Linked DNA regions of Yarrowia lipolytica. The protein of the gene in region 2 binds, or shares a complex with, the protein of the main gene of each other region. Links are inferred from orthologs where the notes say so. Each region holds a gene or a part of one and is shown on either strand. Other genes may lie near its edges. The genes, in order: YALI1_E00551g, YALI1_D02087g, YALI1_E18326g and YALI1_D27297g.

Region 1 (3,054 bases), on a different chromosome or scaffold from region 2:
ATAAACAGTACGTTAATGGGGTTCGTGTGATATTGATGTATGTACAGTACATACTAAAGGTAGCATATGCAGTTTTTGCCAATGAGTCGTCGTGTCATGACGACACTCGCATAGACCTTTAGACGATTAACGACTTGTAATCCGTGTACAGGTATGTACGGCACCAGTATATATCTACGATATTGCAGCCGTGAGAGATTTATTTGACTTCATATCTGAACAGTTGTAGTTACTGACAGTGTTACTCCCTCGTACCAGTGCCGGTATGTAGTCTTATGAGTATGCACACACACCCGTGTTCGAGACCATGTATTAGCTAAAACAGTGTCTCGGATACACGAGATAAGAACAGTTGTATCACACACAAGACGGGCAAGAGTCGTCTTTACTCCTTAACTAATGCCCTTGTTCTGAAGTTTGAACATACTGTCCACCTACAGGCACGCCTTAGGCAAGAAAATCACTTACACTGTGTCGAATATGTACATTAAATAGAGATGCTAGATGAGGGTTTTGCTGGATCTGTGTTAGTATGTTGAAGATGTGTAGAAATATAGTTGTTTGAATGCAACGAGGAACTGCCTCAAGTCGTATATAAATGTCTGGTCGCTTCTAATAGCTCGAGGTGCTATTTCAGGTAACAGAGGAGGAATTCCGACGGCTTGGCGAAGACTAGAATCCAACATGTCCGTGTCTAGACTTGGGTTGCTTATTCAAGACGCCACTCAAGATTAGAGAATGATTGTCAAAAGAGCATCTTAAATAGAAAAGGATAGAATGAGCAAAGACTTCATTTTTTGTCCAAACGGGCACTTCTGCTCACAAAATAGCTCTCGCCTGTCCCAGTTAGCTCTCCAGCTTCGTTACTCTGTTCAAGAGCAACCATATCATACTCACTTCTCATTCAGCTTGACGCAAAAGGTTCGAATCAAACGGGGGTCAGCCTGGACAGCTCGCATGATTTCGCCCTGGGCTCCGGGAGAACAGTCGAACTTCATGTAGAAGTAGTCGCCGACCACGTAGCTCTTCTGCTGGGCCTTCATGATCTGGGGCAGGGGCTTGAATCGCCAGCACTCAATGAGGCGGACCACGCCTCTGTTGCCGATGATCATTCGGCCGATCTGGGTGACGGCCTGCTTGGCGGCCGCGTGTGCCGGAGTCACCGATGCGATTCCAACGAGTTCGTAGAGCATTTCGAGTCTGTTGTGTAGAGGGGTAGTTGGGATGCGATGACGTCGTGTGAGAGATGAAGGTTGAAAATGTTACTGGATGCTGCAACCTTATTTTGGCACTCTGAACATGGTCGGTCTGTCAGTACAATACGTGAGTAATTAAGAGCACTTTAATATCGAGCCGAAATAGGTAGGTCGGATATATGAACAATAAAGGAAATTTACCTGAGGGGTCTGGTTGCTCTCAAAGTGGATAAAATATATGACTGCGTTCATGTAAGCCAGATGCTGCTAACATTCATCTCTAATTACTGCTCAGGTAAAAGTCACGTGCATTTTTTGCGTTCGGAGCATGTACCAGTATCAAGTATGTACTGTACATACCTGGAAATGACCTGTGGGTGCAACATCTCGGACAAGTACCATACCGGCAGGTATTGTAGCTTGCTCTGAGAGAGTCGCTGTATGTAATATCACTGACTACAGTATTACGGGCAGATGGCGTTTTAACCTGTTTTAACCTGTTTTAACCTGTTTTAACCTACAGTAGGAAGAGCATTGATGGCCTGTCACATTTCTCGAGACCACAGTCCTGGTTAATGATGATTATTTGATGGGGTCTATTGATAAATGGTATCTTGCAAGAGCTATGAGTGCTTCTGGGATTGTTTCCATTTTTGTGCAGCTAACAGACATTAGTTAAATGATATTGATGATGTCCTGGCTTTCAAATTTTACCCAAGTAATCAGCCAACTAAGACACTTACCTAAGTGCCTGGAAAACGGTGATATCTCGAGATACTGTAATAGTACAAGTATTAGGAACGGCGCTGGAGAAAGAAAGAAAAAGTCTACCTCTCCTGTATATCATTTGAGAAGATATGGATTCTCGATCAACCGACACACGTCTGTACTTGTAGAATATCTGTCAACTATTTCTCAGCCACTCGACTACTCGTGTGTACATACTGTAGATGCCTGTTTGTAGCCAAATTTCGTACTGTCCCCTATTCAGACGGTCGCCTGAAAGCTGCTTCCATAGTATCCTCTGATGAAGCACCGAGCCTGCAAGTTGTGCACATAAGTACGCATCAGACCCATGTGCGGCTGAATCATTGGTTGTGTGGGGTGAATTGGACCGTGGTTCCAGTCTAGGGATGGCCCTTCAGGAGCAATGACAGATCACAGAAGGGGCCCAAGTATTCGATTTCTCGAAGCTCAAGTCGGCTTCTATCATGTCACCCGCGTCAACTGTACTCAGTGTTATCGTGTTCTCAGCACTGAGTCTGACAGGCAGCTGAGTACGCAGTTGCAACTACTGCACATTATCGTATCTCGTTAAGGCGGCTGTCTCAATAGTCCAAGGTTTAGTTGCCGGCCTAGAACAGCTCGAGTTTGTGAGCAACTGTGTGGTGTATATAGAGTCTAGGGTGGTCGGGAATTGTTCTCGTCTATATTGATTCTCATTCTTGTGATTCATTATTCACCCACATTTATCAGATCACCCCCACAGTTCTCTCTACTTCACTTACCCTACCTTCACTGAGTCAAACCGAGTCACCCCAATCCACCTAACTTAACTGTGGCCTACCCCAGACAACATATCGTTCCACCACCACAACTACACTCACAAAAACACACACAATGCTTCGAACTCTGGCCCGATCTTCCCTCCGATTCGCTCCCCGAGCCACCATGGCTCCTACAATGGCTCCTCTGACCATGATGCGACTCAACCACACCCTCATCAAGGGCTCCATTCCCGACAAGTACTCCAACAAGTACACCCTCAAGTTCACCGAGGATCACGACTGGGTTGCCTTCCACGAGGACGGCGTTGCCTTCATTGGTATCACCAAGTACGCTGCTGAGGCCCTTGGAG
Region 2 (3,115 bases):
TTCACCAAGAACTTCAAGAGACGATACCCCGAGGACAAGCTCCAGGCCGCTGGTGGCTTCTCCTTCCTCTTTGGCCAGGTGGATTTGAACGGGAAGACACAGTTCTCCATCATTTCGAACCGTGGTGGCGATCATGAGTGGGTGGCAAGGGATCCAGAGGACCAAACCATTGGAATCTCCAACTCGCTGTTCTGCAATCCTTGGCCCAAGTGCGCTCTGGGAATTGAGCGGCTGGATGAGGTAGTAAAGGAGAGCGTGGAGTCTGGAAGCAGTCGCAAGGAACTTGTGGACTCGTTATTTGACGTTCTTTCACACGACACGTTTGATCCCGGCGCCAAAAAGGGCGCCTCCGAGCAAGAGATCCACCATGCCCTGCGCCAGTCAGTGTTCATTCCCGTCATTGCTGCTGCGGGGTACCAGGAAGGCCAGGACTGGAACGTGACGCACCCTTTTGGAAAACACTATGGCACTCGGACACAAACCATCATCATGGTGGGTAAAGACGGACAGCTGCGGTACTTTGAGAAGACTCTCCATACAAAGGACACTGACGAGAAGGAGGAGCATCCGTTAGTTGAGCATGTTTTCGAAATCAACAAGGAAAATAAGAGCGGGGGAGGAGGTTCTGGAGGTTGGAGGTGTTTGTTGTCGTGAGCAACAGCAGTTAACAGGTGAGTGTAGTCGTGAACGAAGACGACAAACCCGCCTCAGAGGCACTGAGTTTCTGTGATGTAGTCGTGACCTTTCTCGGCATCCCGCGATCTTCCGATTCAGATTTTAAATAATGCTCTATTGATACTATGTGAATTACAATCTCCATGCCCGTGGATTCTAGATCCTTCCTATTCCTTTTGCTTACTCCTTGGACTTCTTTTCCTTCTTGTCTTTCTTTTCCTTTTTCTCCTTCTTGTCCTTCTTGTCCTTCTTGTCCTTCTTTTCCTTCTTCTGCTTCTTTGCAGAAGGCTCCTCGGTCGTCACATCCTCCTGGGATCGCTTTTTGGTACTTGTAGATTTAGATGCAGTCTTCTTGGTCTGGCTAGCAGACGAAACAGGCATGGCAGAATCCAGTCCGTAGTCCTCGGGTCCGTAGCCAGTAGGGAACCATCTCTGATGCAGACCGTCCACCTTACCAACAATGGGTTTGGGCACACAGACCTGTTCGAGGTCGACAGGAGGCAGAGACACCTTCTCGACGAGCTGCAGCTGCTCGGAAACGGTCTGTTGGGTGGCTCCAAGGTAGTCCGCGTCGGTCTTCTTGCCGAAGACAAACACATTGTGTCCTCCCTCCATGGTCTGCAGAATGTATGTCTTTTTTCCGAGGGTGACCTCACCGTCGATTTCCAGCGGCTGTGATGCGAGGTCGGCCATTTCGACGCCCTTGGGGAGCTTGATAGACCACAGGGTCGTGTTTTCCTCGGGCAGGTCGGCGATCATGATGGTTGGTGTGTGGGTGTGTGGGTGATTTCGAAATTGAATATGCGATATGCACAAATTTTTGATTAAAGTTTTTAATTGATATTGAGTTGACTTTGGTGGAAGTTGAACTGACAACCATTCAGAATGTAGCCTTTAATTCAACTTTGGGCGGAGTCGAACCAGCGGGTGAAAATTACCTCGCATTTGTGTGATTTTGCACAAACCAGATCACAAACCAGCTCACACAACTACAGTCGAAAATGCTCCGACAACTGGTGAAACAGACCCGTGTGGGTTGTATGGCGACCCGAGGCTACGCCAACACCGCGGCACTCGCCCATGAAGAGCGGCTCAAGCACCTCAACTTCCTGTCGCAGTACTACGACGCCGAGACGGTCGAGTCGATTCTCAAGGCCGAGGCTGCCATCAAGCCTGAAGAGTGGGCCGCCAAGTCGCCCCTGTCGCGAATGTCGCCCGGCTACTTTGACGACTTCACCGAGCACGATCCCTTCTACGATCACGCTACTAACAAGTGGACCAACTTTTCGCAGCCACGACAGCCAGTGCCCACCGAGCACGTGCTGGGAACCAGCTCGGCATACCCTCTGGGCTCGCTAGAGACCGGTGACGAGACCGATTCTATTGTGGACACAAAGTTCACCGAGAACATCGAGCCCCAGTTTCACGACAGAATGACTCGAAACACCAGACTCCTGCTAAACAGAATTGTCAAGAGTCAGACCGGAAAGGGAAAGAAGATGCAGTTCTGCGTGCTTGTGGCAACTGGAGACGGCAAGGGAATGCTTGGATTGGGCGAGGGTAAAGATCCTCTGTCTTTCCCTGTGGCTCTCGAAAAGGCCATGTGGAAGGCAACTCGATCTATGAAAATGGTGCCCCGATACCAGAACCGAACTATCTACGGCGAGGTGTACAAGAAATTCCACGCCGTGCATCTGACCATGCGGTCTGCTCCTGCTGGTCACGGTCTGCGAGTCAACCCCATTGTGTCGCAGATGTGCAGCATGGTGGGTATCACTGATATGACCTGTAACGTCTACGGCTCGCGAAATCCCCTGAACGTGGCCAAGGCCGCCTTTGAGGCGCTCACCCAGGAGCAGGTCATCCCCGACTCCATTGCACAGATCCGAGGCAAGAAGCTCGTTAACCTGAACGAGACCTACTTCGCCAAGTCGGATTAAAACTTGTATATAGCCTATGAAGTGCCCTCGATTAAAAAGAAGGAGTGGACCGTAGTCAGATTGTAGAGCGAGAGTGTTTAAGCAAACTTCAACTCTCTTACGTGAAAACGTGACTGAGCAAAAGAGCAGTACAAGTACAAGTAAATACTGTGTACTTAATGGCGGAGTAGTCAGTCAAGATACCTTCTTGATCCAAAGCCACTCAAAGATCTGTTTTCCAGACAAAGGTGATATACAACAACGTCTGCTTCTACTTGTACTGGTATATACTTGTACAGTATGTCCTCTAACCCGCGTTTTGCTATCGCTGCTACTGGTACACCACAGTGTGCCTGCACACACGGTACTACAAGTAGCGGTATTACTTGGCGAATTTTTATCAAGAGCCGACGAGACATGAGACTAAGTTGTACCGATATGAATAAAATGCCATTTTGAAGTCCCGCACTTTCTAGCAGCTTAATAGAAGTTATGAACTGAACTATTTCAAACATGACTAC
Region 3 (2,575 bases), on a different chromosome or scaffold from region 2:
CCGCATCACAGGTTTCAAAAAGCTGGAACTCCATTGTTGAAAGCTTGGGCGCAATCTGGAAGGGTCTTTCAGAGAGCCACCAGGCGCCCGTTACCGATGCTGACGTTGCCAGAGCTACCGAGCAAAAGTGGGACTATACCACGTGGGGGTCCGAGGACACCGATCCTAGCATTGTCGAATCCACTCCTCTGTACAGCAAGATCAACCTGTACAAGAGCATATACCGTCGAAGACATCTTATTCGTCGCAACTGGATGGATCCCAACTCCACACCTGACTCCACATGCATCCGAACTGGACGGGAGGCAGTCATTACTTGTCTCCAGTTTGATGATGACATCATTGTCACTGCCAGCGAAGACCCTTGGATCAACGTCTACGACACTAAAACTGGCCGTCAACGAAGTCGACTCGAAGGTCACACTGGAGGAGTGTGGGCTCTGCAGTACGTTGGTGATACATTGGTCAGTGGAAGTATTGACAGAACTGTTAGAATTTGGAACATCAAAGAAGCACGATGCACCCACATTTTTACAGGTCACGTCTCTACGGTGCGGTCACTAAGCATCCTGACTCCTGTGCCAATGAGCCATGCAATGTGTGCTACTGCACGAACGGAGAGCACCGACCCCGATGAGATGTATCCTTCTCGACCTCTCATTGTTACTGGATCTCGGGACAAGACACTGAGAGTCTGGAAGCTTCCTCTTCCAGGCGAGCCTGAATGGCTGGATCAGTCCACTCAGGATCCCTACTTCATGAAGTCACTCCAGGGCCACTCTAATTCTGTTCGCGCCGTTAATGGCTACGGTGACACTCTTGTCTCTGGATCTTATGACACTACTGTGCGTGTCTGGTCTATCAACACTGGAAAGTGCAAGTTTGTACTTTCTGGACATCACAAGCGAGTATATGCTGCTGTTCTTGATCATCAGCGTAATCGATGCATCTCTGGGTCGCTTGACTGGAATGTGAGGGTCTGGTGCCTTGAGTCAGGATCCTGCCTGTACACTTTGGAAGGTCACACCTCGCTTGTTGGTCTCCTTGACCTCAACCGATCTTGGCTCGTGTCGGCTGCAGTTGACTGGACCCTTCGAGTTTGGGACCCCGAGACTGGAGGCAACATACATAAGCTGGAGGGACACGCGGAGGCAATTTCTTGCTTTCAGCACGACGAATACAAAGTTGTCAGTGGTTCCGCAAAATGCTTGAAGCTCTGGGATATTCGTACTGGCAAACTTGTGAAAGATTTGTTCACGGAGTGTGAGTCAATCTGGCAAGTGCGGTTTAGTGGATCCAAGCTCGTCGCAGCTGTCCAGAAAGACAACGAGGCTTATCTCCGAATCCTGGATTTCGATTATGAGCCAGGAACGAAGACTGAGAAAACGGTCTACGTTGGAAATGAGGATGACATCAAGGTCGAAGACGAGCTTGACACCGCTGCCGCTCCTGATGTAGCTCAATCCTAAGTTTCATACAAGCTACATGGGCATTTACATTTGCCCACCCATATATTTAATTAACAGGATATTATTTACGATACTCGTATCACATACCTTCATACAGTAATTCTGATGGCTGTGTTTTCAAATGAGCTTATCGGGTCACGTGTGTTTAAGGTTTCAATGAGATGTTAGCTTTTCAGTCCCAAATCACCACAACACAACTCGCACCACGATGAACCCCATCCGGCCCAGCAAAGAGCGACTTACCTCGTTGGCAAAATTGACTGCCCAGGTTTTTAATCGGTCTTACAACCCCGAGAACCTTCGACGTGGCACTAAGGCCCTCCGGGCACCGCTGATTGGCGAGCAGATCAAGAGCTACTACCCCACAAGCGACTTCAGCATGAAGAGCCTTCGAGAGGCCATGCCCCAGTTTGGTTTCGCAGACTACACTGAGTGGTACCGACTTACCAACGTTGTTCAGTGAGTATTAGATCCTATTGTATAAAGGCTACTAGGTACACGCACAATCGTGGTTCAATTATTAACAACAGGCGAAAGAAACGAGGAAAGGGAGCCCCTAAGAAGCTCACCGAGAAGAAGGCGGCCGGTGGAAAGAAGAAAAAATAGGCATGCTATTAATTTATACTGCCATGTACATAGACGAAATACAAAGCACGTTTACTACGGTGTATATGTTTCGATTAATTTCAACATTTCTATAAATTATGTAAGTATATCCATGGTTAGATGTAGTCGTGGCTATCGTCGTCAAGTGTTTCATCCTTCTCGTCATCTTGCTCTGCACGTTGGTATCGGCTAGCTCGTTTGGACAGAGCTCCACCCCAAACGGAGTTCTCAAACGAGTCGATGAGCTGGTCTTCCTGTCTGTGGATGAGGTTCAAATCAGAGGAGTCTTGGTCCTTGAAATTGTCACTGTCGCCTGATACGCGCCGGTCCCACATAGAGTTCCTGTCAATGTTTGACCGTTCCGAAGTCCATGAGAAACGGCCAGAGCTGCCAGCATTCGGGTTCGGTGTCATTGGGTCTGTAGACAGGAAGTAGTCTGCTGGAACTGGAACACCATCAGGTGTTGTAGGTACCTCTTCCACATCGAAGTCCGCCGTTTT
Region 4 (2,900 bases), about 2.5 Mb from region 2:
GTCAAGCGTTGCATCGGGTGTGGCATTTTCGAGAGTAGCGAGAAATTGATACTGTTCGAGGGACTTTTTGGAGGGATTCGTTCGAGAAACCTGTTCGAGGGACCTTGACGAGGGACCTGTTGGAGGAATAGTGCAACATATTGACGCTCGTCAGTCATGTCTTACTATCACCCTAACAGTCTCTCTGTTTGACTATCTCTGTCATCGAGTGATGAAACTTGCAGTTCCTAATCCATGGACCCAGACTCCGAGTACCTGTCTACAGTCCATGTCGTGAGAATATAACAATATACGAGTTTGTGGGTATAGCTCCGCGAAGAACGAGTGCTTGATACTGGATGCACGTACTATTACATACAGACGGTTCTTTTCAAAGATGCAGAATGTTAGCTGAGTATCGATAAACCCCTTTCCAATCCGATAATGTAGTATTCGACCGTCTACTGTATTTGTCCATCTACACCGCTCAGGTTCGACTAAAATTGATATGTACATGATATTTACCACGAGGCCTTTCGGACACCGGGCAGCTCTCCGCTGAGGGCCTTGTTTCGGAATGCGGTCTGGGTTAGCTTTGAAAGGACAGTAGAACAGGAGAGAAGGGAGTAAGGGGAGTAAGGAGTGAGAATAGCGTAGAGAGGTTGAGAGAAGCAAAACACAATGCAGCCAGTAAGTCGATAAGTCGGTAAAACCGTCTGTAAGGCAGTTGGTAAGACAGTGTCCAATCCAATAACTCGTGGAATAAGTCCAGAAAAAATACCGATCAAATCACAACGCATCAAACAGCAGCAATCAGCATAAAAAGACGACAGACGAAACCAACATGATGGTCTATTGCTGCACTTATGGTCTACTGCTGCACTTATGGTCTCTCTGCTGCACTTCCTACCGTTCGATGTGCACTGTCACTCATTCCAATCGCCGACATCCCGGTCATGGGCTATCTCATTCAAGATGGTGCGGTTCATTTCCCATCCCCGTTCGCGGGGCTCATTCTCCCCAACTGTAGTCATTCCCACTCCTCATTCTTCACTCAGACCTTTGGTCTTCGCTTCGGTTGTACTCACTCGACACAGCTTGAACTCCTTGATAATACCCTTGGATCTTCCGGTCTCGACACATCGGGGCTTTGCCGCGTGGATGTTAGAAAAGACGGGCATGGAGGTGAGCTGGAGATGGGCCTGGATCCGCTGCTTCATGGGCAGAGTGGTGTTCTGCGAAATCGACTTGAGGGCCCGTCGGTTAATCTCCTGCTGGGCAGACACGTGCCGGATGGCGTTATCCTTGAGCACCTTGGCGTCGATGTAGCACGACGGCGTCTTGAACTTGGGCAGTCGCATTTTGGTTGTGCGGTGTGTGAAGCGAGTGAATTTGAAATTTGAAATTTGATATGCAAACTTTCTCGCCTAGTGGGGAGTTGCTGACTACGCCAACGATCGGTTGTATAAAAACGTAAAAATATCAGAAAAGCCATACTACTGCAATGTTACCAACTCCAGCCATATTTTGTATTTGTATATATATATATGTAGATTTTTCTCACCATAGAAACGCTCTTCATATCCGTCATGATTCCTGTTGGGAGACGGTGATGTCGACTTACAGGACACATCTTACCCTGACTAAGCTGACGAACTGTAATAAGTATATATTTATTTAGTTATTTTATAAGAGCTAATTCGAATATTGTAAGGATAGTAAAGTGTCGTCTCACAAAAATATATATAAAGACGTTAGAAATTATTCGTGAACAAAAATACCCTGTCAGGTGACATTATTAGTCAGTGTAACCATTATCACAGGTTACGACCTTTTATAGCGGGGAATAAGACCCTCTTCGTAACTACAACTACGGGTGCTCGTACGTATTGTAGAGCAAACAACACTCTGAATAAATTGAAACAACGACTGAATTGTCCAGTTTTCATTACCCCACTCAAAGGAAGTCACACGACTTCCAATCATACCCCAGATCGGAGTTTGAGACACATTTTCGGAGCAAAATGCAATAAAGATTTTGTCTCAAGAGGACGATTCAAGTCGGGGAAAATCGGGGAGAATCGGGTAAAATCAGGGAAAATCGGGGAAAAAGGCAATAAACAAACCAGACCTACATAATCGGACTATTTGATGTCAATTATCCACTCCAAACCCATCTCAACACGTGGAAATACCTCAAATTCCTGCAAGTACAGCACATACAGTAGTCCACTTGCGTCTCGGTGCATGCATAGATGTGCCCGGTTTAGGAGCAAGTTTTGATTCGACAAGGTATACAGAAGCTTACGTCAGCAGGTAGTCGTAAGCGGGCCCCTCTTGTTATTGTCACGTGACCTGCCGGGGGGCCGCAGCTTGATAATGGTGAATCCTTTGTCTCTTGTTTGCTTCTTTTGAAATTAGCCATTTATTTCAGACCAATTTCGGGCTTGGAGGATTATTAGGTTACATTTTCGAGAGTTTAAAGAGACGGTGGGGAGTGTCGGAAACGAGGTTTGAAGAGTATTGATTGGCGAAATGTGGGATTATTGGGCTATTCTCAGGTCAGAGTATATTTATTTCCAGTTTCGGCATTTAAATAGCAATTTTTTCCTCATTTTTCCTCATTTTTCCTCAATTTCTCCGCCGTCATTTCCGTCCCACTTTTTCGATTCTACTTTATTGTAATTGTACTTTTAATTTATTTACCTTCAGGGATGGTGCATTCCGTTTGCAGTAGATGTTCGGAATTTTTGACGGTGGCTGATTACAAGGGATTAGGTGGAATGGCTACATGGGACATTACATTGCGAGGAGGCTGATTCTAGCGACAGTAGCCGGTTGCAACTTGCGTGAAGATGCTCCTCTTCAACACAATGCCAGAGTCTGATGGTGCTCGAGTACATACTCGTAATGTTGCAATG

The links.
Region 1: YALI1_D02087g (region 2) and YALI1_E00551g share a complex: the UniProt entries of both Saccharomyces cerevisiae proteins name them as parts of the mitochondrial small ribosomal subunit. The link is inferred for Yarrowia lipolytica from reciprocal best matches to the Saccharomyces cerevisiae genes MRPS5 and MRP17.
Region 3: YALI1_D02087g (region 2) and YALI1_E18326g share a complex: the UniProt entries of both Saccharomyces cerevisiae proteins name them as parts of the mitochondrial small ribosomal subunit. The link is inferred for Yarrowia lipolytica from reciprocal best matches to the Saccharomyces cerevisiae genes MRPS5 and RSM27.
Region 4: YALI1_D02087g (region 2) and YALI1_D27297g share a complex: the UniProt entries of both Saccharomyces cerevisiae proteins name them as parts of the mitochondrial small ribosomal subunit. The link is inferred for Yarrowia lipolytica from reciprocal best matches to the Saccharomyces cerevisiae genes MRPS5 and MRP2.

The regions. Positions count from the first base shown.
Region 1 is NC_090774.1:54,672-57,725, forward strand, and holds YALI1_E00551g (mitochondrial 37S ribosomal protein bS6m), read right to left. Parts: upstream 1,194-3,054; coding exon 898-1,193; intron 523-897; coding exon 501-522; downstream 1-500. Other genes in the region: YALI1_E00574g (uncharacterized protein), read left to right, coding at 2,817-3,054. UniProt on the Saccharomyces cerevisiae protein: Component of the mitochondrial ribosome (mitoribosome), a dedicated translation machinery responsible for the synthesis of mitochondrial genome-encoded proteins, including at least some of the essential transmembrane subunits of the mitochondrial respiratory chain.
Region 2 is NC_090773.1:207,083-210,197, forward strand, and holds YALI1_D02087g (mitochondrial 37S ribosomal protein uS5m), read left to right. Parts: upstream 1-1,676; coding exon 1,677-2,615; downstream 2,616-3,115. Other genes in the region: YALI1_D02063g (uncharacterized protein), read left to right, coding at 1-654; YALI1_D02085g (uncharacterized protein), read right to left, coding at 856-1,434. UniProt on the Saccharomyces cerevisiae protein: Component of the mitochondrial ribosome (mitoribosome), a dedicated translation machinery responsible for the synthesis of mitochondrial genome-encoded proteins, including at least some of the essential transmembrane subunits of the mitochondrial respiratory chain.
Region 3 is NC_090774.1:1,830,983-1,833,557, forward strand, and holds YALI1_E18326g (uncharacterized protein), read left to right. Parts: upstream 1-1,677; coding exon 1,678-1,928; intron 1,929-1,999; coding exon 2,000-2,075; downstream 2,076-2,575. Other genes in the region: YALI1_E18303g (uncharacterized protein), read left to right, coding at 1-1,469; YALI1_E18378g (uncharacterized protein), read right to left, coding at 2,192-2,575. UniProt on the Saccharomyces cerevisiae protein: Component of the mitochondrial ribosome (mitoribosome), a dedicated translation machinery responsible for the synthesis of mitochondrial genome-encoded proteins, including at least some of the essential transmembrane subunits of the mitochondrial respiratory chain.
Region 4 is NC_090773.1:2,728,111-2,731,010, reverse strand, and holds YALI1_D27297g (mitochondrial 37S ribosomal protein uS14m), read right to left. Parts: upstream 1,341-2,900; coding exon 1,068-1,340; intron 564-1,067; coding exon 501-563; downstream 1-500. UniProt on the Saccharomyces cerevisiae protein: Component of the mitochondrial ribosome (mitoribosome), a dedicated translation machinery responsible for the synthesis of mitochondrial genome-encoded proteins, including at least some of the essential transmembrane subunits of the mitochondrial respiratory chain.